Cricetulus griseus: one gene and its partners. The protein of the gene in region 2 interacts with the protein of the main gene of each other region in a biochemical or structural test. Links are inferred from orthologs where the notes say so. Each region holds a gene or a part of one and is shown on either strand. Other genes may lie near its edges.

Region 1 (10,610 bases), about 80 Mb from region 2:
GATGCCATCCATCCATCTCTAAATCCAAGGCATCTGGTGCCAAAAATAGTAGTGGTTTTAATCAGTTACTTCTATTGTTTAATGTATGTTTAATCAAAATCTAAAATTTTGGCTGATAAATGGTTTGTCCTCTTTATTTTGTAGGAATTGCTTCATGTTCGGCTGTTTTCTCAACACTAATGAAATTGCATTTTCTGACCCAACACCAGATGGTAAATTATTTGCAACCAAGTATTGCAACACCCCTAATTTCCTTGTATATAATTTTCATAGCTAAAGACATTTGCAACCACAAACTGGTTCTGTGTGGAGAAGGTCAGCTATATAACTAGTATCAGAATGAAAATTATAAGACTTGTACCCGTTACCAGTTTTACTTCTTATATGTTAATTTGTTGAACTGTTTGGGACTCAAAGTAAAAAAGATCTTTGGACACACTGAGTTCTTAATTTTGAAAACTTGACAGCAAGGTGGCTTCTGCAGAAACTGGGCCACTTTATTAAGGAACACATGAACAACACACTTAGACTATGATTGTCTTGTGCTCCATCAGTAAAGGCAAATCTAAACACAGACAATGAGATAATTTCTGAATTTCTGAATTCCTTATGTAGCATTCTCACTTTATAAGCATACTGTAGCAGCTAAGTTGAAAATACTTAGTATTTTGAATTTCCTATTTGTTAATAAGATAGCAGAAATCATTATCCCATATCCATTTACATAAAATAATTCTATAACTTTTAATATTTTAATCCCTTAGGAAATTAACTAAAAGCACACTTAAGACTGTTTTGGGTACTGTTATCTTCTGTTTTTATTGCATGAAAATGCTGGTAGGTAATTAAAGTCATAAACCAAACAGGTGAACCTAAGAACATAATGACCTTATGGAATATGCTATGCACCTGAGTGTATTCAGATTTTCTAGTATAATTTGGATACTCATTTGCAAAGCGAAAAATTAATCAGGTTGTTTTCATTCTTAAAGATCATTTGTTTCTAGGTTGTATTGCTCATTGTAAAATTGGTTCATCTTTAGTCTAATTTACCTGTAATACTTCCAAAAAGAATGTGGAAGTGTTAAAATCATCTGTAATTACACAAAGATTTTAATGCTATTTTCTGCACAAAATCTTTTTAAATGTTATATTATAAATTTTATTAATATTATTTCATTGTTCAGATTTGTGAGAAATCAATTATAGTTGTTTTTTATAATTGTCATTATTAATATGTTTGTGTGTGCATGTGTGCATTTCAAGGTGCCTATGTGGAGGCCAGAGAACAACTCTTGGGAGTCAGTTCTTTCCTACCATGGGTTCCAAGGATCCAAGTCAGATGGCCAGGATTGTGCAAGCACTTTTATCTACTGAGCCATCTTCCTGGCCCAGAATTGATAAAATCCTGTTAATACTCTCAAATTATTTTTATCATACATATCTTTGGGAAACAAAAAACAAAACTAGAGAAATAGTATGCTGAAAGAAATAGTTTCCCTATTATCTTTGGGTGTAGATACATTGCTTCAAATGAGTTTTGCAGCTTAATTCATTTGATGTCTTAGGTTTTAAATATACATTGTGGTTTGCTATCGACACATTTGCTATGTTGCAATTTGTTTCACACACATAAGAGGTCTTGGTATTTAATAACAGCAATGAGTAGATGTAACTCATGTACTTAGATCTTGCTTCTAATACCTTTTCAAAAAAATCTGGAGTTGCTGGGTCAGAGATTATACAGAATGAGCCTACATCTTGTAATATCAAAAAGTTTAAAAAATGAGTACTTTTAGCAGATAACCCTGCCAACAATAGGAACAGCTAGTAATTGGTCAACAGTCAGTGTCACCATGTTGATATTTGGTGGTTTGCTGTATGAAGTCCTTATATAAGCCCATGTGAACATGAAATAAACATCAGACAACTCCCAGTTGAAGTCTGTTGCACAAAATTTCTAAACCATCATACCCTGAAATTTAGTAGTCATGGGGTTGTGACATCCCTGAGTGTGGCATTTGAATGGGATCTTGGAACAGAAAAAGTAGTCACTGAATAATAAATCTGAATAAAGTATGGAGTTGAATTGCATGTCAGTTCTGGTTTATTGTGACAAGTATAGTTATGTAAAATGGTATGTGGAAAATGGGGTGTCTGTAGGAACTGGGAATAAATCTCAATGAAAGTGCCAATTCATGCTTTATGGTCTGTACACAGGACCTGTCACTTGGGCAAACCTATTAAAAATGATAAATCAGAGAAAAGGTAGGTAAGACTACTGAATCTTTGGGAGACAGAGGCAGGCAGATCTCTGAGTTCGAGGCTAGCCTGGTCTTCAGAGAGTTCCAGGACAGTCTCCAAACCTACAGAGAAACCCTGTCTGGGGGTGGGGGAGATACTGAATCTGTGCACATTTACACAATTTTTCGATAAGTAAACTTTGACTTTGCTGTCACTTTCCTGCTGTTTTGATGGACAATATACCAATTAATGATCTGTTGCTGCATTACCTAAATTCTGTCTGTAGTCAAGTCTGGGTACACCACCTGGTTTCACCAATTGAATTCTGGTAATTCCAAGGAGCTATGACTCAAACAACTGATCCAATTTAACCTCACTTCATACATAAGAAAACAAGGTTTTGAGAAAAAGCACATTCATTCCATAAGTCAGATGGCAACACAAACAAGAATAGAATATTGAGGTACCAAAACTATCCTTTATTACATCACAACTTTAAAAGTAAAAACAATACATTAGCATGAAAATATATTCAATAAGTTAGACACTAAGATGTGAAGAGATGTAAAGTAGCTGCAGCCAGGGTCTGAAAACCTTAGGAACTACTCTCCCCTGCTCTAAAGATACAGGGATATTTAATAAGCACATGGGCCAACAGATCAGCTAAAGCTGGACATTTGATGAGCAGATGTAGATAAACTCTGCACAGTATAAAGTGAAATTTTAACAACTCACTAAAGAGAATATCTAAAAATATCTTTAGTAAAGCAATGATCCCCTGATTCTAAGTCATCTCAGGGTGACTAGTGTTTTAAATCAGTAGGAGCAGCATCTAGGTACTCTGGAGAGTTAGGTTTTTTTGTTTGTTTTTTGTTTTTTTTTTTTTAACTTCACAGACTATCCAGTACAATAAATGCTTATAAGAAATAACATGTCAGAAAATTATGCAAATATTAACTATATGGTGATCCTAAAATTAGCCACTTCCAGAGTTTAGACACTCTGCAGGTCATAGTAACTAAGTGTGTCTGAGTTAACAGTTCACATACAAGCTATGCTTCCTGCTTAGACCGCCACAAAAAGCATCATTGGACATCTAGTTCCAAAGCTTCAACGATGTGTGCAGCAGAAGGACGATCTTTAGGATCCTCATTAGTACACACGGAGAAAAGTTCAATGACCTTCTGGTATGATTCATCAAGTTCTTCCATGTTGATGGATGGTCTGGTCCCCAGAGCTGCATAGTATGCTTCATCATCAAAGTCACTCTCATCAAAGGTTGCATCTGCACACGAGGGAGTTAGAGATGGAAACAAAATCATGTAGGTCATAGGATAGCTCAACAGCTTACCCTCCTGCAACAAGACCGGGTTATCCAGTGTTTCCCTATACCACAGGCAGTCTGTTCAACGTTCCTGCCGCAGAGATTAGACATTTTCTCTCCAGCAAAAAGGAAACTTTTCAGCTAGATACCCTACTCAGCAAATGTAGATATATTAAAGAAAAATGAGGTATGTCATTTTGGGGGTTGGGGAGATGGCTCAAAGGTTAAGAGCATTGGCTACTCTTCCAGAGGTCCTGAGTTCAATTCCCAGCAACCATATAATGGCTCACAACCATCTGTAATGAAATCTGGTGCCCTCTTCTGACCTGAAGGAATACATGCAGACAAAGCTGTATACATAAGAAAAAAAAATGAGAATCCATGAGTGGAGGGGTTACAAGGGAGGAATACCCTTATGTATCTATTCTCAATAGGTATCTCATTTGTATGAGATTAAATCTAGCCAAATTAATCACAGTATTACTATAATCTTAATTTGCTTTTTGAATTTTAATGGGAGGACAGTTTTATGCACTAATTACCAGAAAGAAACTCCGATTTATGTTAAAACCTATTTGTATTTATACCTTCATCATCATCATCCTCTGGAAGATTGATGTGTGGAATACATAAAGTCATCATTTCCCACAGAGTAAGACCAAAAGCAAACATATCTGCCTTGTCAGTAATAATGCCATTTTCATCCAAGGCTTCCTTGGGTTTCCAGGGCTCCGTGCCAATATAACAGGCCTCAGGATCAGTCACTGAAACACACACACAAATACAAAAATAGTCATAAGAACAGGTGTTAAGGATTATGGAGAAAGGCAAGCAACCAACAAAACAACACAAGCAAAACTCCTTTATACAGGGAGTTCAGAAATTAATCACTATTCAACCTCACTATAATGGATCTGTCCCTTATAAGACTAGAAAGTATTAAAATCTCATCAGTTGGTGGGAATATAAGAAAACAACAGTTCCCTCAGAAGGTAACAGAAATTTAGGGTATAGATAGATATCAAAATTCCACTCAAGCTAGACTATCTTGCTTATAAAGGCATTCAAGCTGGGTGACACAGCAGACTACTTTATGTTTAGGTCTTGGATTTTCTGTAAGCACAGAGGTTGAACACCAAATGGCATTTCAGGACTTCCATGATTGCTACATCAGGAAACCCAGAGAAATAGTCACACACTGGCCTTTAAAGTATTGCATGCCACTCACAGTCCCTTAGTCTAAAATTTTGTCAGCTTCAATTGAAAAAGCAAAAAACAACAGCAAAAATTAATTAGGAAAGGATAGGCTAGTAGATCAGTCTTCGAAGAATTAACATCTCAATATTATCAAACAGTATGAAACACACAGACCTTTCTTTCACTGTCTGGTTCCATCTTAGTGATATTTTATGGTTTCCAGACTTAGAGGATTTTTTTTCTTCTTAGATTTTTAAATATCTTGGGGTTTTAGCAGTTATAAATGGAATTTTTAACTTTTCATTTTCTTATTATTTACTAGTATCAATTTTCTTTTAAAATCAACCATATGAGATTCTTTCTAAGAATGTTTTACTAGCTATTTTTGGATTTCCTAGTTCTTATATCTATTTTGATAATTGCATTTTTCAAGGAAGCTGTCATTTTATATAAGCTGTTGTATTTGGTGGAATACAGCTGTCTGTAATAGTCCTTATACATGTGTAGAATGTACAGCTATGACCCTCTTCATGCCTGATATTAGTGGTTTTGTTCTTTCTTTTCTCAGTCTTGGTGAGAATTTTTATTTTTCTGTATAACCAGTTTGGGCTTTATTAACATTTCCCAGTGACATCTGTTCCTATTTTATTCCTTTCATGGACTTTGCTCTTTCCTGGCTGACAAGGAAGTGCAGCCAACAGTAGTACCTTTTGTCTTTTAAATAATCACTAATAGCTACAAGTTTCCCTGGGAAACTAGTGACTTTACATGTTGTATCATTTTATGTATCAATTCAAAACAGTCTCCAAAACTGTGGCCCAATGATACCCCAATAGGTATGTAAATTTGTATTGCTAACCCCCCAAAACTCAAGGTTCTCCCAGATATTTTGTTAGTAATCTCTAATTTAATTCCTTTGTCCAGTAAGGAATTCTGTGACATCTTCCTTAAGGCAAAATTTCCTTTACATATTTAAAAATGTTTTCTCTAATTAGAATAAATCAAATTCACTGGACAGTGTTAAAGTACATTACACTAAAAATATAATCTTTCAATATTTTATTACTATAACCTCCATTTTACACAAATAAGGATAGAATTGAAAACAAAATGCTTAGCACTCCTAAACAATAGGGGGAAAAAACAAGCAGTTTGTTTAATTAAAGAAGCTTATCTTTGAAATTCTACTTTGAGGCTCTCAATAAATTTACAAATAGAGAAAGAAACATTTGAAGAGGAAAGAAAAGATGTACTAGTCAATCCTGATTAGCATGATTGGATTACAATGCCCAGAAGCTGGGGGAAGCTCTACTCTGGTGGGTGTGTCTTTCCCAAAGTTATTCAGGTAAAATCCATGCTGGTGAGGACCAGTGTGGTCACAGACTAAAGACTGTGAGAGGATTGAGCCTGAGGCCATCCTAACCTGACCAACTTCAAACAAATCAAACTAAGACAAAAAATACACAGATACACTACCAAGAAGTCAATAACTGGAGCGGGGAGCTCAGAGGAAGCGAAAACACCTGAAAGATGCTCTGTATTATACACTTTTCATGAAGTTCATTTAAAATATGTAGGTTTACTATGTTTTACAATGCAAAAATTAAGAGTTCAAAAATTGTATGAATTTAAAACAATGCTACTTACCAGTCATATTTTCATCCAATGGCAGAGAGACTCCTACATCACAGATTTTAATTGTTTCAAAATCACCTTTAATTACAACATTTGAAGACTTTATGTCTCCATGAAGCAGCTTCTTTTCTTGATGCAGATACTAAGAATTGTAAAAACATTCAAATACATGAGCAGAAAAAAAAACTGCTAAAAATTCTTTCAATAAAACAATGACTTGAGCTAGGCAGTGGGGGCATATGCTTTGGGAGGCAAAGGCAGAAGGATCTCTGAGTTCAAGGCCAGCCTGGTCTAAAGAGAGTTCCAGGACAGCCAGGGCTACACAGAGGAACCCTGTCTCAAAAAAACAAAAAACCAACAAAGACTTGAATTTCCTTTGTAAACTGGACTTATTTATCTATTTCAAAGTATTTGAGGCTAGGAAGGGAACATGCCATGTCATTTAAAAGTTTTCTTTACGATGTCTGAATTTTCAAAGCTGACTTCAAAACACTCCAATTTCACTTGAGGCCAATAGTTTTAAATTTTGAAATCTTCACAAACTTATCTCAAATTGTGATGTAATGCAGGTGACTTGGGTCCACTATAATTCATAAGCAGAAACAGAGATGTATTCTATATTATGTTTTTACCATTAACTGCTTTGGAGTTGTCCATAATTATAGTCACATTTTGAACAATGCTGCAATGGCTGTTCATTTGTCAGCACTTGAGCACTATACTATACTATACTATACTATACTATACTATACTATACTATACGCGCAGCTTAGAAAGGAGAAGCCACTCTTGCTGTGATCTGCCCTTCCACAGGAGCCTCCTATGCATACTTAAATGCAGCCCATCATATGGTGAATAGGCCCCAACACGGTTACATTATTAATTTCATTATACATACATACTTAAAGCCATCAGTCAGTAAAAAACTCAGATGTTTCTATCCTTTTTATTTTTGTTAAGATAGTGTTTCTCTATGTAGTCCTGGCTGCCCTAGAACTTACTCTGTAGACCACCCTGGCCTTGAATTCAGAGATCTGTCACGCTGGAATTAAAGGTGTGTACCATCATGCCTGGCTCTATCCTATTTAAAGGTATCTATAAATGTAGTAAATTGTTTTTACAATGCTTTTTTTTTCTCAATCTGCTCCATAAACCAATTTCATATGAGACCTTAACATGTAACCCTGACATCACTATCATGACACTGCGAGTCATCAGTAGTTTTCTAGAGTCACTATTACTAGTGTTTAATTAATATATTCATTTCTTTTCTTCCGTCATGTTGTATCTATCAAAAAAAAAAAAAAACACAGCAACACAGATATAACCCATGTTTAATTTCTTCATAGTTCACCAAAACTATTTAAAATATATTTACCTTTAGCCCTCTTGCCATGTGCAGAGCAACTTTGAGAATTACAGCTGCTGGAAAAGGACTTCCACTGTCTTTGTTTCGCTCTTCTATTAAGTCATTCAGAGACTTTTCACCTCCATACTCCATAGCAAGGCACAGACTGCCATCACTGGCTTCAGTAAAGGCACGGTACCCTTAAGAAAATGTGACAGTTTTCTATGAGACTCTGGAAACCAGGGCTTATTTGGTAATATATCTTGGACCTGGTCTAACACAATAAAATACAAAATTAACCCACAGCTAGAATTTAAATGCCTTCAATGTGTCTAGCACCACAGATCAAAATAGTTTTACTATGCTTTCGTAAATAGAATGATTCCACCAGACGAATTAGTACCAAAAATGAAAAGTGAAGACAAGAACCCATCTAAATGAACATAAATGATCTAAATGAAGATCAGTTTAAGTCCTGAAATCTTTATCTGCACAAAACGATTACACCTCAACTCCATGAAGGTTGGATACAAGCACTTAAAGATCTAAGATATATGGATCTTAAGATATATGATCCATATATATATGGATCATATATATATATATATATATATATAATATATATGCGCATCACATGTGTGCCTGGTGCCAGTGGAAGTCAAGACACTGGATACCCCATGGATGGTTGTGAGCCACCATGTGGGTGCCAAGAACTGAACCTGAGTCCTTCACAAGTGCAACAAGTTCTTTTATCTATTGGTCCATCTCTCCGGCCCCTTACGTGAATTTTTACTTCAGACAATTCACATTAACTTCCAATAACATCCAGACCAACTTTATTTTTATTAGCAAAACCATTTCAGAATGTATCTATATTGTTTCTAATGCCACAGAACATTGCACTGCCACATAACTGCCACCAAGTCAACCTGTACTTACCTATGATGTTTGGATGATTAAGGTTTTTTAAAATCTTAGCCTCATCAGTCAGTCTTTTCTGATATACAGTTCGGTAGTGATCATTACATAAAGGATTGATCTTTTTCACTGCCCAAGGAGAATGAGACAACCCACGTGGGGATCTAAAGTATAAACACATAAATTTAAATGTAAAAAAGGAATAAAAAACAACACCATCCTCAAATTGACCCCATAGAAATATGTATTTAAAAATACATAAAATTCTTTAGATCATCAACACCTGTTACATTTCTGTTTGGACTAAGTCAGTGTCTTGATATCTAAGCCCCGAGAAGGGATTAAAGGAGAAAGATAAAGATGAAATGTTACAAATTTATAAAAGTACAATTAAATTTGAAAGTGGCTACACTATTTTCTAACATTTCTATTCTGGCATGTCAGTCACTATTTTATCAAACATTTTACCTTTATGTATCAGAGATGAGTTATATAATAAATACTAAAGAAATTTAACTTAAAGAGATGCTCCAAAACAGTCTATATAATGGTATCCTCTCTCTTATTATTTGAAATTTCATACATATATGTTCTGATCAAATGTACTTTCCATGTCCCCCCAACTTCAATCCTCATGTGTTCTTTATTCGTTAAGCCTAGAGTCCACTTAGTGCATGGGTACAGGAGCATCTCCTGGAGTGTGGGTAGCCTCTTAGGGGCTGCATCCCTGAAGAGAACCGACTCTCTTCCCTATAGCCATTAACTGCCAGTAGTTCCCCATCCCTGACACGCCCTTTCACCAACAGCTATTTCAACTCCACACCAACATTTCTTCTACACTTGTTCACCACACTCAAAGCCATGTTCTCGCATCTTTCTACCACTTCACCTTCTTAAAGAAGCCAGAAGGGAAAAGGGTTAAGCTATTCCCTTTTATTAATCCACCAGTAAGAATTTAGGAGTACAGTACTTGGGGCAGAACTCTAGCAGTTATCAAGATTCTGAGAACTGGAATGTAGCCTTCAGGTGTGATGAGGAACTTACCCAATTCAGGCACAAGGACCCACAAGTTGGAAATCTTGCACTCACCTTTTCATTAGGTAAACATTGACCCCAGTCCCAAAGCCAAGCTTCTGCATAAATGGAGAGGCAGGGATAGTTACACATGGAGTCGAACATAATACTAAAAATCAAAAACAAAAGCAAGAACTTAGCACTTGAAAATGGTAGTACAAAAGAATCTTGACAGTCTTTAAACACTGTGGTAAGATTAGTAATGGCATTTTTTTTTTTTAAACAGAGTATATGAGTACCCTTTGACTAAGACAACTTCTGTAACTCTCACAGTAACCCTAATGTAAATGGCCTGTTTTTTATGGCATACAAGCTAAGAATTTAAAAAAATCTATTTAGCTATTATTGTGTGTATGTATACATGGTGTATGTATGTAGATGTGAATGCCATGGCACACATGTGGAGGTCAGAGGACAGCTTTTGAACTTGTTTTTGGACAGATTATACTCAGGTCAACACTCAACATCAGTGAGATGTTGAGCCATCTCACTGGTCTTTGTTTGCTTTTCAAGACATGGTTTCTCTGTGTAGCTATGGCTATCCTGGAACTCTCTCTGTACAACAGGCTGGCCTTGAACTCACAGAGATCTACCTCTTGAGTGCTGGGATTAAAGGTGTGTGCTTTTTTTTTTTTTTTACATTCTTTAAGGGCTATTTAAAAACAAAGAATATAGAGGCTGCTGAGATGGCTCGGTGGTCTAGAGCACAAGCTGCTCATACAGACAGCTGTTCTCTCTGTGAACTAAAAAACCTGACAAAATACAATAGCTTTCAGATGCATGATAAGAGGCAGAGCAGAGCTGTGACCTCTGAGCAAGGATGAACCCATGAAGCAAATCCTATCATCTCCCCATGGCCCTGAAAGGGAA
Region 2 (10,610 bases):
AATTTTCATAAAGAGTTGAGTTCATTTAAACAAATGAACCATAGCTATGGGTTTTGAAAATAGTCCCGAAGAGTGGCTTATACAGAACCAGGCTCATAGTATATCTTTCCAGGTAACAAAACTAAAGGAGACTCTTAGAACGAAGGCAGCTGTCAGCAGCTACTGGGCACTGACTGTCCCTGCATCTGCATCCTAACTGAACTTCAAGCTACACAAAGGAGCCACTTAACAGCTAGCCTAGGTGTGACACATTCTCAGAAGTTGGTGTCCCCTCAGTGGAAACCAGTGTCAACCAGTGCTTCTGGCTTCTTGGTCCCAAGGGCCTGTCCCTGTGGATTTTGACGTGGCTGTGAACATCTAGCTCCTGGGAAACTAATGAGGCTATGAGTGTAACTACCATCAGAAGCCTGGTGTTCCTGAAATGGTCACCTTACTTTACAGCTTCCTCTCTGTGCTTTTCCACACACACACACACACACACACACACACACACACACACACACACACACACACACACACACACGAATAAAGGACTGTGGAGCTGCATAGTGACCCACGAAGCTATTCTTTGGCACAGCCAGGGTTGGGTCAAATACTAAAGTTAGGAAACACCAGCTCACTCACATAATCTTTGATTTCTCTCTCTAGCACTGAGTTAAGTGATCCAGGTGGATGAGGAACAATGCTCCAAAAGGTGCCATAAGACTGAGATCATGGCCTCTTCCTGACAGTGAACTAGGTCTTTTGAATACCTGGTATTGGCAGCAGTATCTGCTAGAGGGCTGATGATTCCTGGAGCCTGAAAAGCGGAGTGTCTGAGATCTTCCAAAATAATCTAAGAGGACAGAAGAACAGATTCTGGTTTTGTTTTTTGATAAGAAAGCAGTATAATCACAGTTCATTCCCTAAAGACATCTGTTCATTAGTTTGTTCTATTCTATCAGTAAGCGTCAGCTGAAGGCTCTCATGTACGGAAAGATATGTGCAGAGAAGCATGGGGCAGCCAGAAATTACTGCCTTGGCTGTGTAATCAAAGCAGTTTAAACATTAATCGAAGCAGTCAACCAAGTACCATCAATATTGGGACAGCCAGGTTAAGGCAGCTACGTATAGCCCGATAGTGAAGCCAGTTGCTAGATTCTAGAGTCCACTTGGTGATATGAGAGGTCAGTATAGGTAGCAATGATGGAAGGTTGAATGCTATGAGACGTAGCATCAGCCTTACAGGAATCATGTGTGTAGAGACAACAAGGAAAAGAAGGATTGGGGTAAAGTTTAGTTGGAAGGGATTATTTCATGCATGCCTTGTAGGAAAAATTGGGTTTCAGCCCAGGATGAAAAACATTCCAGCAGAGAAATATATGCTGGCACCAAGGCAGGAAAGTGGGAAACACGCACAAAGAACAATGAACAGTTTAGTTTGGCAAGAAGGTCTGAAACAAATTCTGTTTTTGTTCATTTCAGTCTTCCCAAGGTTGTACCACCTGATTCCAGATGGTGAAATTACAAGCATCAAAATCAATAGAGTGGATCCCAATGAAAGCCTCTCCATTAGGCTTGTTGGAGGCAGTGAAACCCCACTGGTCCACATCATCATCCAGCATATTTATCGTGATGGAGTGATTGCCAGAGATGGACGGCTGCTGCCAGGCGACATCATTCTCAAGGTGCCCAAAAGGCATGATCGTGTAACTATACGCTTACAAGATCATGAGCTGTAGGCTATGAAAGGCACTTACTCTAAATCTTTAAAAGTAGATAATGGTTGGATGGATAGATGGAGGGATAGATAGATGGGTTGTGCAGAAAGATGGGTGGATAAGTGGATGTGTGGAGGAATAGGGAGATCCTTCAGAGCTAATATTAGATGGGCAGATAGGTAAATGGATGGATAATTAGATGGAAGGGTGCATAGGCAGATGGATGAACGTGTGGTTGGGTAAATGGATGGGTAGGAGGGTGGATAAGTAGATGACAAATGGGGGATAAGAGAATAGGTAGATGGCAAATGGAGTGGATATAGTGAAATAAAGACAGACACTTTCCACAGTTATACTGAGATAAATCTCATATGAAGAATTCTAATATAATTTGGAAGGGTCTTTCTCCTCCTCCGCCCATTTATAAACAGTTACTGTTTGTTTACAGTTGTTACTGTATCATTTTCTGTCTTCTCTCTCCCCATCTACTGTTTTCATCTACACCCTTTTCTTTCTCCACTTTACACGTTCTTTCTCTTCTTGCTCCTCCTATAGCCTCTCCTTTTAAAATAAACATTAGTATAAAATAAGCACATTGATGGCAACTGTTGTGTTTGATCTAATTGTGTCCAGACCCCCTTCTACAGAAACACTCCTGTGGCTCAACAGCCATCTCTAATCTGGTCTCATGACCTAGAGGCATTCCCAGGGACTCAGGGGTGGAATGACCTGACTTGGGCACACTGTCCTCCTAGGCATGGTTGAAAGGGAGACTTCAGAGAAGAATTTTCAGGACAAAAAGAAAGTGGGGAGAGCTGTTGCTTATCAGACAGATGCCAAATGTGAGCCAAAAGGGACTAGCATGCCTTCCCAGCTCATCTACTTCTTATCTGATATTCAGATAACAGTTCCATCCCACCCTTTGCAGGAAGCAGAGGGAGGACTCCTGTCTCAGCGTGGGCTGTTTGTTTGGCAAACTAATTGGGATAAGAGGAGAAATAATTGAAAGGGTTACTGCAGAAATGTTGACATTGTCTCTGGGATGTCCACCAGGCAGGGCCCATCACTCAAGTGGGCCACAAATACTGGGACCCCAATCACAGCAGGGCTTTCTCCCTCTCCCAATGGATACTACTGTGTCTGGGAGGGCTGCATAAGAAAATTCTATTCTTTGGTCCTTAGTTGGAGGCAACTTGAAGATAAAGAAATGCCAGGGACCTATATCAGATGACCATAACTTCCCTTGATCATAGGCTCTGTCACCTTCCTGGTAGTGTTCCCTTGTGTTTGGACAAGGGGGTACCTTGTCTTCACTAAAGGAGCCCAGTCCATCTCTGAGTTTCAGCAAGAGGCAGTGGTTGACCTCAAACAAGGTCCTTTCAAAGCTCATTTTTCCAATGTGCCTCTAACAGTTGGCTTCAAGTACAGCAATCTTCTTAGCAAACTCCCAAATCTAAGCAGAGTACAGAGCTGCTGGGAACTGTTTTCTTCCAGAGTGGTGACAAACACTGAGGGCTGTAGCCTCCAGGCTGGGCCTGTGGAGCCAGGATAATTAAAGCCAGAAAGTCAGATGCAGCAGCAGCCCTGTGGATGGTTAGTGAGGCCCCACTGAGAGGCCCAGGTTCGGTATAGTTAAGGAGGGCTATAGTGTTCTGCCTTTCAGTAAATAGCCTAGAAACGTTCTTGTGCATTAGCTTATTTGAAATGATTCAAGCCCCACAGTCCGTTATAGTTAGAGTATTAGCAGAAGACCTTGCAGACATCCGTCTCAGTACCTGACACTCCTATACACACTGTTACACTCACACCTGCAGATGAACATTCAGGCCCACTCACAGATACTGTATCATACAACAGCCCCTTCACACACTCAGGCCCACTTACAGATACCATATTATACAACACACTCACACAGACCCAGGCCCACTCATAGATACTATATATCATACACACACACACACACACACACACACACACACACACACACACACACACACACGCGCGCGCGCCCAGACATACTCACAGGTACCATATCATACAACTCACATTCACCTAGGCCCACTCACAGATACCATATCATAAAACACACACACACACACACACACACACACACACACACAGGCACATTCACTGATACCATATCAGGCAAATACACACTCAGGTACATTCACCCAGATAATATAATGTGAAAACACACTCCACACACACTCAGGCACATTCACACCAATATAATAACATACAAAGACATCCACATTTTGTCAGGCACACTCACACAGATGTTTTGGCATGCAAATACACTCACATGTGCACAGGCATGCTCACATATACTATAACATGAAACACTGACACATGTTCAGGGGCATTCACACAAATACTCTACATACAAACACATATTTAAGCACATATTCTCTCTCCCTCTCTCTTCCCACCCCCACCCCCTCACACACACACCACAGAGTAATTGGAGGTGAAAGTATGGGTAACTCAGTAAGAAAAATTTTGTTCAAAAAAACAATCAACTTGTTTTGGTCTAAATAGTGTTGGATATCATCATCTAATATTGGGGTGCAGATCAGTGGCCAGGCCTGTGCTCTGCGTGCACCTCATTTTAAGAGTATAGTCATTTGAGCCAGGCAGTGGTAGTACAGGCCTTTAATCCCAGCACTAGGGAGGCAGAGGTAGCTGGAGCTCTGTGAGTTCAAGGCCAGTCAGATCTACAAAATTGAGTTCCAGGACAGCAGGACTACACAGAGAAAACTTGTCTCAAAAAACAACAACAAAACACACACACACACACAGTCATTTGAATAGAATAAGAAAATGCCTTTGTCTTTCAACTTTTTTCTTTCTTCAGTATCAACTAAAAAACTAAAATTGGCAGGTAACAGAAATTAACAGGAGGATTCTACACTGTCATATGGGCCTGTGCAAGTACATGGGTGAAGGAAGGCAGTGCTGCGCCCTAGAGGAGGGAAAATTACTGTGGAAAATTAGACTTTTTGAATACAGAATAAAAGGAGATAGAGAAGCAGGCTAGGGGACAATATCCTGGTTACTCTGTGGACTTGGACTTGTATTCATTTGATTCTTGTGATGCTGAGGATCAAACCCATGCTGGCCTGGACCTTCTCAGAAGGCTAATGGTAGGTACACTCACTGTCGAATGGCCCCACCCCCAGGTCAATGGAATGGACATCAGCAACGTCCCTCATAACTACGCCCTGCGGCTCCTTCGACAGCCCTGCCAAGTGCTGAAGCTCACAGTGCTGCGTGAGCAGAAGTTCCGTAGCAGAAGCAATGGACAGGCACTGGAGTCCTATGGACCTCGGGATGACAGCTTCCATGTCATTCTCAACAAAAGCAGCCCTGAGGAGCAGCTTGGCATAAAGCTGGTGCGCAGGGTGGACGAACCTGGGGTGTTCATCTTCAATGTGCTGAATGGGGGTGTCGCTGACCGACATGGCCAGCTAGAGGAGAATGATCGTGTGCTGGCCATCAATGGACATGACCTTCGATTTGGCAGTCCAGAAAGTGCAGCTCATCTGATTCAGGTGGGTCAGAAGTCACCCTAAGATCCCAGTCAAAAAACCCGCAGAAGCAGGAACATTTGGCCCCTTATCATGTGTGCCACTGGAGCCTCCCTCTGGGGAAGTCAAGGAAGGGCTGGCAGTTTCAATGCTACTGTCCAAGAGCCCAAATGACACAAATGGTGTACCTCGGGTCATGACCTTTGCTGATAGTCTTACAGTGTATGTGTGCTCTCTCTCTCTCTCTCTCTCTCTCTCTCTCTCTCTCTCTCTCTCCCTCCCTCCCTCCTTCTCCTTCCCTCCCTCCCCTACCTTTGTCTTCCAGTTCTGCTTTGCTCCTATTTTATGGTTACCTGCCTATCTAGAAAAGTGTAGAAGCATATTATATTATAAAAGTACCTGGAACAATGCCTAGCAAGGTTAAGCACTTGATGAATAAGTGTTTATTATATGTAAATACTTAACTAATAAATTAGTCATATTATAAACATATATATATATATATATATATTACATTTTAGTCAATTCCTTCTCTGAAGGATTATTTTTGTCAAACCATTTACCACAGAACCAGATTGACATTTGTTTTTACATGCTCTTTGACCCTATGAGGTAACCTCTACTTTTTATCCCTTTGACTTTGGTCAGTTATCATTGGTTGAGCAGCCCTTATGTACCAAGCAGTGCCCAGTACAGTGTTAACAAGGTAGCCATGGTCACTTGCTTCTCAGAGCTTGAAAACTTCCTGTCCTTGATTTTGTACAATCAATAAGGCAGAGTTAGACTAGAAAAAAAAAGATGAAACAGTCACACATGAAAGAGAAGTCCCTTTTTTTTCTTCAGGAAGACACTATCTTAGCTTAATTTTTTTTTTTCATCTTTAAAACCTAGACCCTAAGCAATTGTCAATATTCTTTTCATGTTATGCTTGTTAGCCCCCTCTGCAGGCCACCTAGTGCAACTCCCACTCTGAAGCTCTTTGCCAACTGTACTTTCACAATCGGCAAAAGAAAAACTTTTATGTTATTGGGAAAAAACTTGATTACACATGGCATTTTACTCTTGAAGATTAATAACAGAAGAACATGTTTTTCCCTGAGAAAGTCAATGTATGAAGTAGAATCTTGCCTAATAGTGGGAATTCCTTTAAAAAAATCCCTTTGCTTACTAAACAAAGCCAATCTGCTTTATAAGCAGAAAGAAAACTTACTTTTTCAGAAAGTCTAGGACAAAGCTCGCTGGAAAAGAAACGTAAAAAAATAAATGCTGTTAAAAAAAGCTAAGTAATGGCTTGCTGTCTCTGAAGAGTACATTTTATTTTTGCAATATTTGTAACCCACACCAGGCTGAAGGGATTAAACTAAGTACCCTTCAAAGACTGAGACTCAAATTGCCACCCGGCCCCGGCCGTTGGCTATGCTGCCCATGTGTGTCCACCCCCATGAATCACATTTGCCTCACAAAGAAATTCCCAGACAGCATGTCCTCTTGGCCATGTTCTCTCCCATCAAACTACACTTTTTTTTCTTCCTACATTACTTCAGGAAAGAGTTATTGCAGAGGCCACAACTGTTTTAAATTGGACCAACTTTACTTATGTTGAACCCCTAACCTGATCATATTCAGCAGCAGCCTGGGTAGACAAGTCCCCAGTGTAGAGAGTCAAGGTCCGTTAAGAAGAAAAGTCTTCAAGAGAAAGACACCTCCTACATGGAACAATGGGCTTCTTAGCATCTTAACAAGGACCATGCTGGTTTCCACCATTGTTAATCCCTCCAGATTTTTTAATCATACTTACTAGAATAAGTATACGGAAAACAAACTTTTTGGAACTATCTGATGTCATACTTGAGATAACAGAACAAAGAGATAACAGATCAAAGAGAAAAAAAGATGTCTCCACATCTGTATCCCAGAGGGTCAGCATATTACCGTTATCACCACAAGAATCTAGGAATTCTAAGAGAAATGCTTGTTTTGAGGAATTCCCATCCATATGCAACTCAGATTAGTGAGTTATGTTTGTTTAGGAGTTCAAGTATATACAGTCAACAAAGAAAGCAATTATGAATTTTTAAATTGAGTAGCCATCCATGAGTTCTCTCTCCCCTCCTTTCCTCCCTCACCCCTCCCTCCCTCCTTCCCTTCCTTTCCCTCCCTCCCCACTCTCTCTTTCTCTCCTTCTCCCCATCTCCCCCTATCTATTTTCCTTGCTAACCCCAGAAACTGAAAAAAAAATCAAATCAATTTATAGAGGTTGGGAAAAGTAGGGGCATACAGTAACACTGCCATATGTGTGATTTTTGTTCCTTGTATGAAATAATATTTAAAAATACAGTTATTTCACCAAAGAACTGAAAATCAGCCTGTTCAAACTTTTAAAAAGAATGTGATAGGGCTTCAGACAGAGCCAAAAAGTAAACAGTGCCAGGCTCATGTTACCCACGTTTACTCTAAAGACAGGATTCCAGCTCATGAGTTGTGCTTTGTACCTGGAAAGAAAAAGGCAGAACTTTTGTGGTAATTTAAACATTCAAGTCCCTGGGAGCCAATAAGAATTGCCAGTGAAATAAGACCTGCTAGATCTGTGTGTGTGCAGATCAGCACAGCTCATGTGGAATCCAACCCCTGTTCACATAAATTGTCTTACCAGGGTCCTGGAGTAAATTTAGTGCATGTAGACTAAACTTAAATCTCCTTATGCTCAAATCTCAAAGCCTAAGAGATTACCAAATAGGACTCTAAATTTCCTATTTTCTTGAGAAAGTGATACTTGGAAATCAATACAGCCCTTCAAGTTAAACTTTATGAGAATGAATCTTCTGTGCAGTTGTGTTAAAGGGCCTGGAAACCCCACTGCCTTTCTCCAACACAATATCCCCCACAGGCTTGTTCCTTAATGGAAGAGAAATAATCCTGGGAGTAGCAACCTCCAAGTCCCTGAAGAGAAGTGGGGCTGAGACAGAGGAATGCTGACACAGCAATCAACAGATTCAGGGACCCAGGAACCACATTTTTATTTTGACTTTGTCTTTGACATCTATATGATCCTGCATAACTCATCAGCAGTATTTCCATCACCACTCATTTTCTTATTCCTAAAAGACTCTATCTTAAGGTGGAGGAAGAGATGATCAAGAAAACCCCTTATGAGTGAATGAAGACTAAAGTAGAAGGTAGCTGTCCCAACAGCTGATTCTGTAGGTCCTATTCCAGCCCTCATCTGCCTGTGTCAAGGCACTGCCCTTGCAAATATGCTTCTCCTGTGGACCTAGACTGTGCCCAGAGTCTACCCACCCCACAGAGCACATTGGTGATATCCAGCAGTCAATTTGCCCCCGCCTCCATTCCATGTGTTTGCACAGAATAACACTGTGCAGCATGCCAGAGAAGATGGAGACTTCTTGAAGTCTATAGAGTCAGTGCAAGAAACACAGCAGGTAAACCCATGTGAGCCATTGCTCACCTGGTGCACAGCATTCACACAGAGACCAGCTTGGTCTACATGGCAAATTTCAGGCCAGTCAGGGCTACATAGTGAGACTTTGTCTCAAAAAACAAATTATTTAAGCATTTAATATATATATATTATATATAATATGTGATATATTATTACATAAATTAAACATATATAATATTCTATATTTGGGGGATATATATGAGTGTGTATATATGTGTGTGTGTATATGTGTGTGGGATATATATATGTGTGCAAATGCCTTATTTTCCTTACAAATAGGGGAAACCCTTGGCTGGTGGGAAGCTTGCACTGTCAAATACAGGTTTTCTATCAACTTTTGTTCTGCCTATAGATAGCACTGGTCCTCTTAGTCACCAATTCCCATTTCTGATGAGCACATCTCCTGCATATGTGTGGGTATGAAGCTAGGAAGCATTCTTGCCTTCATCCTTCCTGTGCCTGTACCTTGTCTCCCCTTTCATGTGTTACTGTCACACCAGTGGAAATCAAGACTGTAGTGCCCAGGACCCTTTCTCTCTCTCTGTCTCTCTCTCTCTCTCTCTCTCTCTCTCTCTCTCTCTCTCTCTCTCTCTCTCTGTTTTTTGGGTTTTTTATTTAAATTCTTTAATCACCACTCATATTTACATATCCATCCCCTCCATTCCCTCACCCTCCCATCCTCCCATGTTCCCCACAAACCCCCCAAACCATCCCCCAACTCCTCCCCAGGGACAGTGAGGCTCTCCACCAGGGACCTTCTCAAGCCTGATTCCAGCTGCTCAGGAGTTAGTGCCAAGACCAACACATTAGCTTACCTCATATCTCCAACGCTGTGAAAGAAAGTGCACCAAATAGCCTCCCTGTGAACAATTCATGAGGTGGCTGGTAAGAGCCCCAGAGCCAGCCTTGCAGAGGATTTATTTGCAAGTAAATTGATACCAGTGTTATTTATTGGAGTGTTGGTCCTGCCAAGGCTCCATTCTCAAGCTGGCATTTGAAAGCCCAATGAGAAATGTGTGCTCACAAATGTGAATAAATAGCTTGTGCAGGTTGCTTCTTGGCAATTTGGATTTTGCCTGTTGGATTGAGCCATGTATAACTCTGCAACATTCACTTTTTTTCTAAGGAGTTGCTCAGAACATGCACTGCTCACTGTCCAAGACGGACAGGACACAATCCCAGCTCAGAGCTGAAGCTCTGCCAACAGCCTTCTCAACAGTGGAGTTTCCCCAAAGATAAGAGAGAAAATTTGGGTTCTGTGATTGAGGTTTTGACCTAAATGTTCATTGTTACTTATCTTCCCATGAGTTCTGCTTCACCGAGTTCTTGAAGATAACCTTTTAGTGAAACTTGCAATCCAGAGAAGAGGCACAATTACTGCAACACTCTCTTCCAGGAATTGAACAGAGTTAGCTTTTCTTCATGGTGTGTTACCTGTGAGCTCTGTGTGTGTGTGTGCCTAAGTACATGTGGAGACTCGTGTATGTTCTGTTCTGATGCAAGCTTCAGATGTGGTAAGGGACCCCAGGGAATTCAAGATAGACTAGCAAAGGAAAGGCACACAAGCACTGACTGGATTAGTTAGGGCTATGCATAAAGGAAAACAGGCTAAATTCAAGCTTCCTCTGTGGGGCTGTTTGATAGCATTTTCTGCCATGAATACGGAATGAACATTTCACCTAGCTGACCATCCATTGTGATATTTATAATATTCTTACTATACCCAACAATTGGATTAAAAATTAGTCTAATTTATAACCACCCACCTGATGACCCCCAAGTTTCAAGAGAACCTTTGAACAGAGATAACATTGTAAGGAAGGTTTGGGCTGGTCAGTGCTGGACAAATGTGAGGATCCAACTGCATTGGCGGAGTTCTTGGTTCTTAAGGCCCTAGTTCCTGAGGGGAAGAGGGAGTTATGT
Region 3 (10,610 bases), on a different chromosome or scaffold from region 2:
TCCACAAAGAATGAGTCATGTGCTATATACCTTTGTTCCACCCCTCCCCCCAGAGATGCATCCTATGGCAATAATTTTAAAAGAAGTCATCATGCGAGAGAAAATGTTATTACTGTAATTGTTATTATGGGAAATTGGAGGTAGACTAAATGCTATGTAGTACAGGAATAGTTAATGAAATTTTAGTAGGTAAAGTCTGTAAAATCATTACGTTCCCATTAAAACAACAAAGAAGCCACCCAGGGGAAGAGCTTGCAAGGTTAGTGAAAAGAAGACTGATTAAGGATGGTGTTCTTGGGCTTTCGGAGATCCAGCTCGGTAGAGCAAGGGCCTCTTGCTTCCCCTGGAAACTGGTAAATGAGCATGACAGATGTTTCCATTTTGCTCAGTCAGCAGTTGCCCAATTTTCCTGGAAGGGCATCTGTGCAGGCTGCTGCCCCAGTTTCCCTGGACTGGCTGGTTGAGGACCAGAATGGCTTACCTGTGACCTTTTTGACATTGACAGGTGATGGGAAACAGTCCTCCTTTTCATCATGACCCATTTGTTCTGGGGTTCGGAAAGACCGTCTTTTACTTGGATTAACCAGCAATATTTCTTCCGTAAATTAAGCCTTAAACATGGGCTCAGCCTAGAGATGAGGTTTTTATTTGGCATCATCAGACCATGTCTCAAAAGAGAGGGGAGATTCGATGCAGTGGTACACTAGAATCAGCGAGCCTATGTTTTCAAACCTGGCTTTCCCATTCATCAGCTAGATTATTCCTGTGTGTGAAATGGGCAGTATCAAAGCTACACCGTCATGGAGTTGTGTGAGTTATGATGCCTGTAGATCCCTGAGCACACTATATTACTGTTGTTAGAGTTAAAACAGTTAACCACTGTCTGGTACAGTGGGAAACCTATGGACTGTGAGTTCAGAAGTCTGATTTTGTGTCTCAGCCCATCAATTCATCTTGGCCAATATTAGTCATGGGTTTTCAACTTCAGTCTTCTTCTTTGTCAATAGAAGCCTTATTAATGTGTCCCACACAAACGGAGCCTGAGCCTATAAAAAGAAGTGTGGTGTGTCCTTGTAGTGCTCATTATCATGAACTTGATGTTTCCTATTTACACGTTCTTCCTGGAATGACAGACACTGTTGGACAGCAGAGGCAATGATCGATTTTGGGAACAGAAGTTGGATGGATTAGATTGGACTGCTCAAGACATCATGGCATTTCTGGCCAAGAACCCAGAGGATGTTCAGTCTCCAAATGGCTCCGTGTATACATGGAGAGAAGCTTTCAATGAAACCAACCAGGCAATCCAGACGATATCTCGCTTCATGGAGGTGAGGTTCTGCTGTGCACATCCTTTCAAAGGGCTTTGTCCTTTGAAATGTTGCAGTAAATTTAAAGGCAGAAGGAGAGCTTAGAATGAATGTGCGGTATCATGTACAGCTATATCCTGCAGGCCCGGCGGACAAGATAAACCCTAGATGAACTGCTTCATAAGTAAATAAGCTTACTTCCAGCGTTACTTCAAATAGACTCCAGTGTTTCTATCCATTATCTTCTCGGTGTTCCCATGTTTTGGTATTCTAGATTCTAATGGTAATAAATTGCTCTCTTATAAAGGCATTGTTTATGAAACTTATCTAATCTAATTTGGAACTGTAAAACTAACCCTAAAAATGATGGAAAGGAAAAGGGCTGATAGAATTTTTCCTTATCTGATTTTAAGTGGTTAGTTGCTGTGACTCAACATTGGTAAGAAAATGGAAGAGCATAAAATATGATCATTTCCCCTCACAGAAACAATACAAGTAATGTTCAGTATTTCACATAAATCTCATTTCTAAGCTTGGTTGAAACCCAGAAAACTACTTTTGAGAGGGCTAGGTGCTGAAGAGTGATAAATTCGGGCAACCAGTTCCCACCTCTCAGTGGAGACTGAGTGGTGTCTACCAGCTGTCTTTCTGGCCATCAGTGTTCTAATGAGGCTGTCTTTTATGTCAGTGTGTCAACCTGAACAAGCTGGAGCCCATTCCAACAGAAGTCCGACTCATCAACAAGTCCATGGAGCTGCTGGATGAGAGGAAGTTCTGGGCTGGGATTGTGTTCACAGGGCTCACTCCTGACAGTGTGGAGCTGCCCCATCACGTGAAGTACAAGATCCGAATGGACATTGACAATGTCGAGAGGACCAATAAGATCAAGGATGGGTAAGTAGAATCCCATCACACAAGCCCAGTGTTGCAAAGGTCAAGAAGATAATTTAGATGGCTTTTATGACTGTTGGTTCTCTGTTAGCAGTTTGGAAGGAATTTCAACAACAAATCAGTAGCAGCAGCATGACTTGGCTAAAACTGCATTGCTGGGGACTGTTAATCAAAGGCCATAAAATATTAGTCTTTCCGTTTCAGCATTCCTGTTCAAAAGATTAACTGAAAGGACTTAAAAGTCAGGAGAAAGAAAGAAAAGCCTTTAGGGGGTCTCTGTGCTAGCCAGACACATTTTTATAAAAAGAAGCAGACAAGCGATAAAAGGGAGTGGGTAGTTGAAATTTTAGTATGTCTATCTGATGTAACGTTATACCTAAGGAGAAAAGAAAAAATATACCATAAGGAGTGTGTTCATTGTGATTATTTCTATTCAAGAATCTATGTATTTATCAATTGAAATAGGAATAGATTAAAAAATAGGAATAGTAGCCAAGGAAGTGTGTGGGAAATGTGGGTAATTGGATTTTCCAGTATGTCTATTGTTTGCTTTTAGGTACTGGGACCCTGGTCCCCGGGCTGACCCATTTGAGGATATGCGATATGTCTGGGGGGGCTTCGCCTACTTGCAGGATGTGGTAGAGCAAGCGATCATCAGAGTGCTGACGGGAACTGAGAAGAAAACGGGTGTCTATGTGCAACAGATGCCCTACCCCTGTTACGTTGATGACATGTGAGTGTACCAACAAGCCAGCCTGTTTTTTTATTAAACAAGCAGCTCCATGTGGAGTACATGCATGTTTCTGCACAGTGTGGGAGTGAATGCACGTCAATAGGAGGTGATTAGAGACCCTGACCCTTGGACTCTGTCCCCTCCTTTAGTGTTTAGTACTTAGTAAAGTAATTTACCTTTATTTTAATATTATCCCCACTATTTCCTAGTTATTAAAGTGATCCCCTAAAGAAATTTTGGATGGCTGCACTCTGTCAGCCAAGGTTCTCATCTCTGTCTACTGCTAATGAAACATTTGGTCATTTGAGAGTCCAGTGGGCCTTCCCTTGGTGACCCAAATGTAGTTTTCCCTCTAATATGCAAGAGCTTTTTTCCATGCTTTTCATCTGTGTCTCCAGTTTCCTTCGGGTGATGAGCCGGTCCATGCCCCTCTTCATGACCCTGGCCTGGATTTACTCTGTTGCTGTGATCATCAAGGGCATTGTATATGAAAAGGAGGCTCGGCTGAAGGAGACCATGCGGATCATGGGCCTGGACAATGGTATTCTCTGGTTTAGCTGGTTCATCAGCAGCCTCATCCCTCTGCTTGTGAGTGCTGGCCTGCTGGTCATCATCTTGAAGGTAAAGGGGCCTCTCTCCTTCCAGAAAAGCACACATTTACCTGCACCACACTGTACTTCAGGGTCAATCCTTAGGAGTGTTGGGTGGGGATTATTTTCAAGTTGGTAAAAGCAATAGTCAGAAGGTTATACTACAGTTTGGATGTCTGGAGGAAGAGGCTGAGGCAGACTTTGCTATATGGATATTAGTAGGGATCAGTATCTGGAGGGATGGAACATATGCTGGCTCATGCAGAGAGAGGAATTGAACCATGTCTCAACAACCCAGTGGGGTGCTCTGGAGAATTTATAGCTTGTCCAGGAGTTTCCCACATTGAACTGAGAAGAAGCCCAAATTCTTATCCCTAAGGCCTGACATCCTCTCTCCCATTTAGTCAGTCATTGGATGGGGCTCACCAGGGAAAGGGGTGTTCTAGGGCCTGGAAGCTCTCCTAGCTATGACAACAGAGACGCTAACATCTGGATGTCTTTTATCTGCAGACAGGCAAGCCCTCCCTTAAAGTGGAGTCTGGGCAGTGAAATTTTTGTCTCATACATGAATCTACTCTTCAGCTTTCTTAACTCATCGTTATTTCATACAAAGCTGCCTCTTATAAAAGTTAGTGTTTTCCAGCGGGGGAGGAAAGGGAGAGAGAGAGAGAGAGAGAGAGAGAGAGAGAGAGAGAGAGAGAGAGAGAGAGAGAGAGAGAGAGAGAGAGCACAAAGCAAGACAATGTAATATTCATCTTAATGCTAGCTATATATATTACTCCTGAGCACTCGCTGAGTAACCTTATAGTAACCCATGGAGTTCCCAGGGCAGGCCAGAGCCTCTCTAAATCGTGCCAGGATGACAGACCAAGATTTATTTGCAACCTGTTTATTTATACTCTGGTATCCAAGGGCAAGGACCTAAGCCTTGTACAAGGGTAGGGGTCCTGTGGGAAAATTCACAAGCATTTATGCATACATGAAGACTTTGTAGCTACCAGGGTAAGGTTAAGGTTGCCTGGCCTGTTTCTAGGTTGGTGGAGAGAGAGGATAAGTGGGCTGTTGTCCCACACAACTTTTTCTTAGGGGCAGTGGTTGTCCTTGAATGAGGAGAAGCCAGGTATCATTATCTCTGTGAGAAACAGAGAGCAATATTGTCCACTGAGATCAAGTAGAAGGTCCTGAACTTCGCACTTACCATAATTCTGCTGTGGCTTTTTTTTAAATGTGTAGTCTCAAGTAAGGTATTTCTCCTGGGTTTGATTTCTGCATCAGAAAACTGAACAGTGTGGTTCCCCTACATTATCTCTGAAAGAATTATGAGTGGAAACTAGCATTGAGATTACATGAGCGAGTGACTGGGCTTGCCAAGGTCACACATTTATCCAGTCTCTTCTTCTCCAGTTAGGAAACCTGCTGCCCTATAGTGATCCCAGCGTAGTGTTCGTCTTCCTGTCTGTGTTTGCCGTGGTGACCATCCTACAGTGCTTCCTCATTAGCACGCTCTTCTCCCGGGCCAACCTGGCAGCAGCCTGTGGGGGCATCATCTACTTCACATTGTACCTGCCATATGTCCTGTGTGTAGCCTGGCAGGACTACGTGGGCTTCTCCATCAAGATCTTTGCTGTGAGTAACGCTAGTCTTTCTCCAGAGTTGTAGTCCTTCCTGACCCCGACCCCTGGGGATTTGGCATTCACTCTGAACTCCTCTCTTACTCAATTGTTCCTCCTTCGCCCTTACAGTGAGCACTAGTTGGATTTGATTTTTGTCAGAGATCAGATTGTACCTTGAACATGTTGGATATAAATGACATTGGGGAATGTATTTAGTGTAGCAGTAGATACCACATCTACCCCTTGTCTTCTAGCTCTTTGGCCATAATAAGATCACAGTAAAGTCATGACCATGGATAGCTTGCGGCCACAAGTGGTTCATTTATGACTCGTCTTTCTTGTATCCATTTTGGTATTTGACTTAGGTAATATTTTCTGAACTGAATAAGTCTGAACATGACTTTCCCTCCCACAGATCCCTGATCAGGACATTTTTTCCTCTCGTGTGTAGGTGTGGTCTTTGAGCATGTGAGAATATCAGTAAAAGCCACTCACTAGCTGCGCCATGGGTCACTAATATTAGTAGGCTCTCAGCATGCTGCAGGTCCCTCAGGCTGAGTCTCATGGATGTCAAACCTTAAAGTAGCTCTTCTGATCCTGAATACTCAATGACTGATCAGGGAAAAAGTCTTTGATGTCACTATAGGAGGCTGAATGGGGGACAGGATTGCTGAGCCTTGGAATATCTTGGGAAGCATACAGTTCTAAAAGTCTCACCTGCTCTCATGCATGCATTTCTGAAATGTGTGTGCATAATGAGTGCTTATAAATGAAATCATTTTATATGCTGTAAGGGAGTCCTGTCTCCAAAGGGACTCTAGGAGAATACTTACATGCCTTATAATTGATGTAATTTGCAAATTCATCTTTCTCAAGGTGGAAATTACATTAGAAGAGAAAAATGAGAGAGACAGTGGCATTATCCTAATACTTTTGCCTTTTTCTCTCAGAGCCTTCTGTCTCCTGTGGCTTTTGGATTTGGCTGTGAATACTTTGCCCTTTTTGAGGAGCAAGGCATCGGGGTACAATGGGACAATCTCTTTGAGAGCCCGGTGGAGGAAGATGGCTTTAATCTCACCACTGCAGTGTCCATGATGCTGTTTGACACCTTCCTCTATGGAGTGATGACGTGGTACATCGAAGCTGTCTTTCCAGGTACCCCACGCTTCCAGACTGCTTTGGTTAACTGATACAAGAAGACCCTTTCTGCCTGTAGATCTTTCCTTTCTTTGTGTTGCAATTGCTAAAGGATGAGGGGGCTCCCTCGGAAGTGGCTTGGGCTTTAAACCTGTGAAAAGCAAATAGTACTAGGAAAGTCACCTGTGCTGAAAGCACACCTGTTACTACCACCATGTCCCTCATGCTTGAGTCCTGTGGCCAGGTACTGTGCAAAGTACTTTACATCCTCTGATTTTGAAGATTGCCCTGGAGTGTTTGCTATTGCAAACAGTTCCCGAATGAGAGACCTGAGAATGTAAGTGACTTGCCTGAGGTCACAAGGCTGTTAAGCGCTGGTGCTTGGAGATGACCCCAGTTGGACCACACTGGGTTAGAGTCTAGTAGATTCCTCTCGGTGCTGCCTGAGTTCTGGAGTTATGTCCCCAGAGATGGAAGCCCTAGGAGGGCTTGTAGTTCTTAATTACAAGTTATGAATAATATAATGTATTAGGTCTCAGCACTTGCCCATGGTTTAAGTCAAATTAGTGTGTGGGAACAATTAATTTTGATGCTTTCCTTAACCTTCTTTGCCAAGTGAAACAGGAAACCAGAAAACCTCTTTGGGATACATTTCCATGCAAGATCAAATTTTAGGAGGTGAAGTTCACCCTCTGACTTTGCTCCAAGGGAGTCTATATGTAATTTTTATTTTTTTTTTTAACCGTATCTGAACTTCTTCCATTGATTATGCAATTTGCATCATATAGATTGAGATTCAAATTCTGAATCCATATTTACTGGGTAAGTGACCTTGAATAGGCTATGTGTCCTTCACTTTCTTTATCTCTAAAGTGAGGATGGTGTTGCCATCTGGAGTTGTTGGGAAGCCATGGAGAGATGCAGAATATATGATCTACATACTGGGTTTGAGCACAAGTTAGTGGTCTGCCTCCACCTTAGTTCCAGTGTATTCCTTCCCCCAAAGATCTTGTCAAGGAGAGAGAGAGAGGGTCTGGCTAGACGACATCAGAAATGCTGAGATGGCATCAGCTTGGATCATGCCTGTGCTTTGCTTTCAGGACAGTATGGAATTCCCAGGCCCTGGTATTTTCCTTGTACCAAGTCCTACTGGTTTGGTGAGGAAATTGATGAGAAGAGCCACCTTGGTTCCAGCCAGAAGGGAGTATCAGAAAGTAAGTACTTACTGCTGACACCCACTCCCCTGTACTTGGTGCTGCTGTCCCTACCAGGGAAGGGCATCCCTCTTACATTAAAAAATACTCTAAAGCCACATTAGAGGCAGAAAACCCATGCAATACCCCCTTTCCAAAATACACCCATGCCATTGCTTTCCTGTGCACTGACTTAATGGGAGTCCTGAGGAGCTCCTGAGGAGCAGTTTCTTTGTTTCCCCACTTGTAGGAAAGAATAGTATGATCAATATACCCTTATCTCCCCCATCTTGGACAATGTGCTAGTTTATGCAGCCAGGAGGAATAAGTAGTTAGCCTGACTTTCAATCTTTCCATTTCTTCTTTCCTTCCACCGCTGTCTCAGCATTCCCTTCCCTGAGCTGCCTGTGTTGATTCTCAGCAGTCAGTTGCTCTCTTTCCTGAACAACCACCCAACCACACAAAGGTCTCTGCTTGATTTAGAATAGCAGACTCACAAGAAGTTTCCAGACAAGTATGTGAAGAGGTTCCTTTGTCCTCTTCATGGGTCCCCCCAGTGTTCCCTGTTCATGAACCTGAAATTGAAGTATAGTTTCAAACTGGTATTGGTACTGTTCACAGACCACTGGACTCCTCATTCCACACCCATTTTGTGATATCTGGGAAATTTTATCATGTATGTGGATGTGTGCTCTAGCTTGTCCGTCAAGATGCAGAACTGTCTCATCACTCCAGAGCTCACTGATGATACAGATTAACAGCCATGGCTGCCTCTCTCTTCTGCTTTACTCTTCTCGATTCTTACAATTTTATTATTTCCTGATTATTATGGAAATGGGACTGGATAATAGGCAATTTTTGGTAGTGGGTCTTTTCCTCACTCAGTATAATTCTTTTGAGATCCATTCAAATTGTGATGTATCCTAATCATTTACTGCTTTTTCTTGGGCATGCATGACACTTTTAGCTGTTTTTAAAATGACAGTTCACACCCTGTATATTAATTGTTTTTACAGCATTTTTCATCACCAGACTAATGTTTTCAGTTCATCCCTACCATCAGCACGCATGTCCCAAAGGGCTTAAATTATTTTATCTTCTGTGTGCAACATTTGAGGTTCTAATGGTCTAAGCACAGACTTTTGTATTTGTTTACTCTGCTGCTTAGGTCAGTGTTTCCTGTGGTCTCACCTCTGTCTGTTCTCTTTTGTCACAGTCTGCATGGAAGAGGAACCTACTCATCTGAGGCTGGGTGTGTCCATTCAGAACCTGGTAAAGGTTTACCGAGATGGCATGAAGGTGGCTGTGGATGGCTTGGCGCTAAATTTTTACGAGGGCCAGATCACCTCCTTCCTGGGTCACAATGGAGCGGGGAAGACCACTACCATGTAAGAAGAGGGTGTGGCTCTCACAAGATCTGACGTGGGAAATGCCATCTCAGAAATGAAGACCTGAGACAATCGAATTGGTCACTGTGCTAAGAGTGGGGCCCAGTGAGAGAAAATGTCCCAGTTATTCATGAGCATGGAGGTCTAGATTTTGCTGGATATTTTTCTTTTAGTCTAAAACAGGCAGGGACCTTTTGATGACCATTCCCATTGCACTGCTCAGAATTCCTTGGAGTCTGAGTTGGTCTATTTTTGAGTGGGTTGGTTCAGAGCTGCGAAGCAAGAGACTGGAAAGAAAGATTAAACAAGCTAGAGGAAGAAGGACACTTCCAGGAAGTCTGTCTCTGATCAGATGAGAGAAGGCCCGGGTAGTTCTCTTCTGCTCTTTTCTCTGTGTCCTGTGAGGACCCAATAAGGGTCAGAGAACATCAGTTAACTTACAGTCTACAGTGTCCCCCTGTTCCCCTAACCCAAATACCTAACCCTAACCCCCACCATTCCAGAATTTGATCTTTGAGGGTGGCTGATTGTCTTTGCTTTTCAACATAAAACCAGTGTGTTATGAACATGACACATGACTAAGACACTCAGAAATTCTGCCATGCACACAAACATTTCTATCTTTTAATACATGTTCTTATTTGTTCATTTTTTTTGTACAAGATGTTAAGCATGTAAAATGTTTTAAAGAGCACATCCTGCTGTAAATTAGGAGTTTCGTTTTTTCAGATGCTGTTACTGAAACATTTCTAAGACATAGGCTTGTGCTTAGCTATTCACTAAAGCAAATGGCCTCTTTGCTCCATGAGAATCTATTAGATTCCATTCAGAAGTAATAGAGTGTCCAGTGGTATGATCTGCTCTTCCTGCCCTGACTCTGCAGCACTGAGGAGAGGTGAGACTGGGTCTGCCTGATTTTTGTATTTGTTACTCTTGTCCTCAGGTCAATACTCACTGGGTTGTTCCCCCCAACTTCTGGCACTGCCTACATCCTGGGGAAGGACATTCGCTCTGAGATGAGCTCCATCCGGCAGAACCTGGGCGTCTGTCCCCAGCATAATGTGTTGTTTGACATGTGAGTAGCAGAAGCACACAGAGGAGCCCCCCTCCCCCACCCTCTGTTTGTAACCTGGGAGTCCTGATGCTCTGAGTAGAGTGGTACTAAAGAATTTTCCTTCTTTGGGTGTAGGGTGGTGGGTCTTACCTCTTATGGCCCATGGTGACCATGATGCCTTTTGATTTCAGGGGGAAAAGGAGGTGAAGTTGTCTTAAAGTTCTCTTATCTAAATTCAGTAGCTTGAGCTTCTGGGCTTCCCAGGGGCCTCCCATTCCTTAGACATAGGGCTTGAAACCCATTGAGGTTTGTTGACTCCACGTGAATGCTGAGGCAACTTGGTTTAGTAGAATTGTGAAGTGAGGCCAATCTGTGAACCTGGAATTTAAAGTTTTAACTGTCTGAAGCCCTGTGATCAGGCCTGCAGGGAATGGGATATACATGATCCATTATATTTCAGCTTTCATATCCCAAGCAGCTCCTATCATGGCCCATTTTTTGTGTACCCCAAATTCTCCCTTCTGGTTACCTTTTTTAGAAACTGGTTATTTTTCAAAGGCTAGAAATGGTGTGGAAGAGAAGAAAAACATGCCAAAGTAGTTACGTCCAGAGCTGACCTTCCCCTCTTTCTCTCAGGCTGACTGTCGAAGAACACATTTGGTTCTATGCCCGCCTGAAGGGGCTCTCAGAGAAGCATGTGA

Evidence for each region. The genes of interacting proteins can lie anywhere in the genome.
Region 1: of the proteins of Lnx1 (region 2) and Pbk, one has a biochemical effect on the other in vitro, tested with the Homo sapiens proteins (2 studies listed by BioGRID and IntAct, with this or other methods). The link is inferred for Cricetulus griseus from reciprocal best matches to the Homo sapiens genes LNX1 and PBK.
Region 3: of the proteins of Lnx1 (region 2) and Abca1, one has a biochemical effect on the other in vitro, tested with the Homo sapiens proteins (2 studies listed by BioGRID and IntAct, with this or other methods). The link is inferred for Cricetulus griseus from reciprocal best matches to the Homo sapiens genes LNX1 and ABCA1.

Annotation. Positions count from the first base shown.
Region 1 is NW_023276807.1:220,803,019-220,813,628, reverse strand, and holds the end of Pbk (lymphokine-activated killer T-cell-originated protein kinase), read right to left. Parts: intron 9,850-10,610; coding exon 9,756-9,849; intron 8,831-9,755; coding exon 8,688-8,830; intron 7,949-8,687; coding exon 7,779-7,948; intron 6,543-7,778; coding exon 6,413-6,542; intron 4,333-6,412; coding exon 4,156-4,332; intron 3,530-4,155; coding exon 3,330-3,529; 3' UTR 2,703-3,329; downstream 1-2,702. Other genes in the region: N-acetyltransferase ESCO2, read left to right, coding at 145-277. UniProt on the Homo sapiens protein: Phosphorylates MAP kinase p38. Seems to be active only in mitosis. May also play a role in the activation of lymphoid cells.
Region 2 is NW_023276807.1:141,127,382-141,137,991, reverse strand, and holds part of Lnx1 (E3 ubiquitin-protein ligase LNX), read left to right. Parts: intron 1-1,464; coding exon 1,465-1,667; intron 1,668-4,879; coding exon 4,880-5,251; intron 5,252-10,610.
Region 3 is NC_048595.1:90,698,400-90,709,009, forward strand, and holds part of Abca1 (phospholipid-transporting ATPase ABCA1), read left to right. Parts: intron 1-1,133; coding exon 1,134-1,331; intron 1,332-1,998; coding exon 1,999-2,204; intron 2,205-2,757; coding exon 2,758-2,934; intron 2,935-3,332; coding exon 3,333-3,555; intron 3,556-4,928; coding exon 4,929-5,150; intron 5,151-6,087; coding exon 6,088-6,292; intron 6,293-7,374; coding exon 7,375-7,488; intron 7,489-8,683; coding exon 8,684-8,855; intron 8,856-9,798; coding exon 9,799-9,930; intron 9,931-10,545; coding exon 10,546-10,610. UniProt on the Homo sapiens protein: Catalyzes the translocation of specific phospholipids from the cytoplasmic to the extracellular/lumenal leaflet of membrane coupled to the hydrolysis of ATP.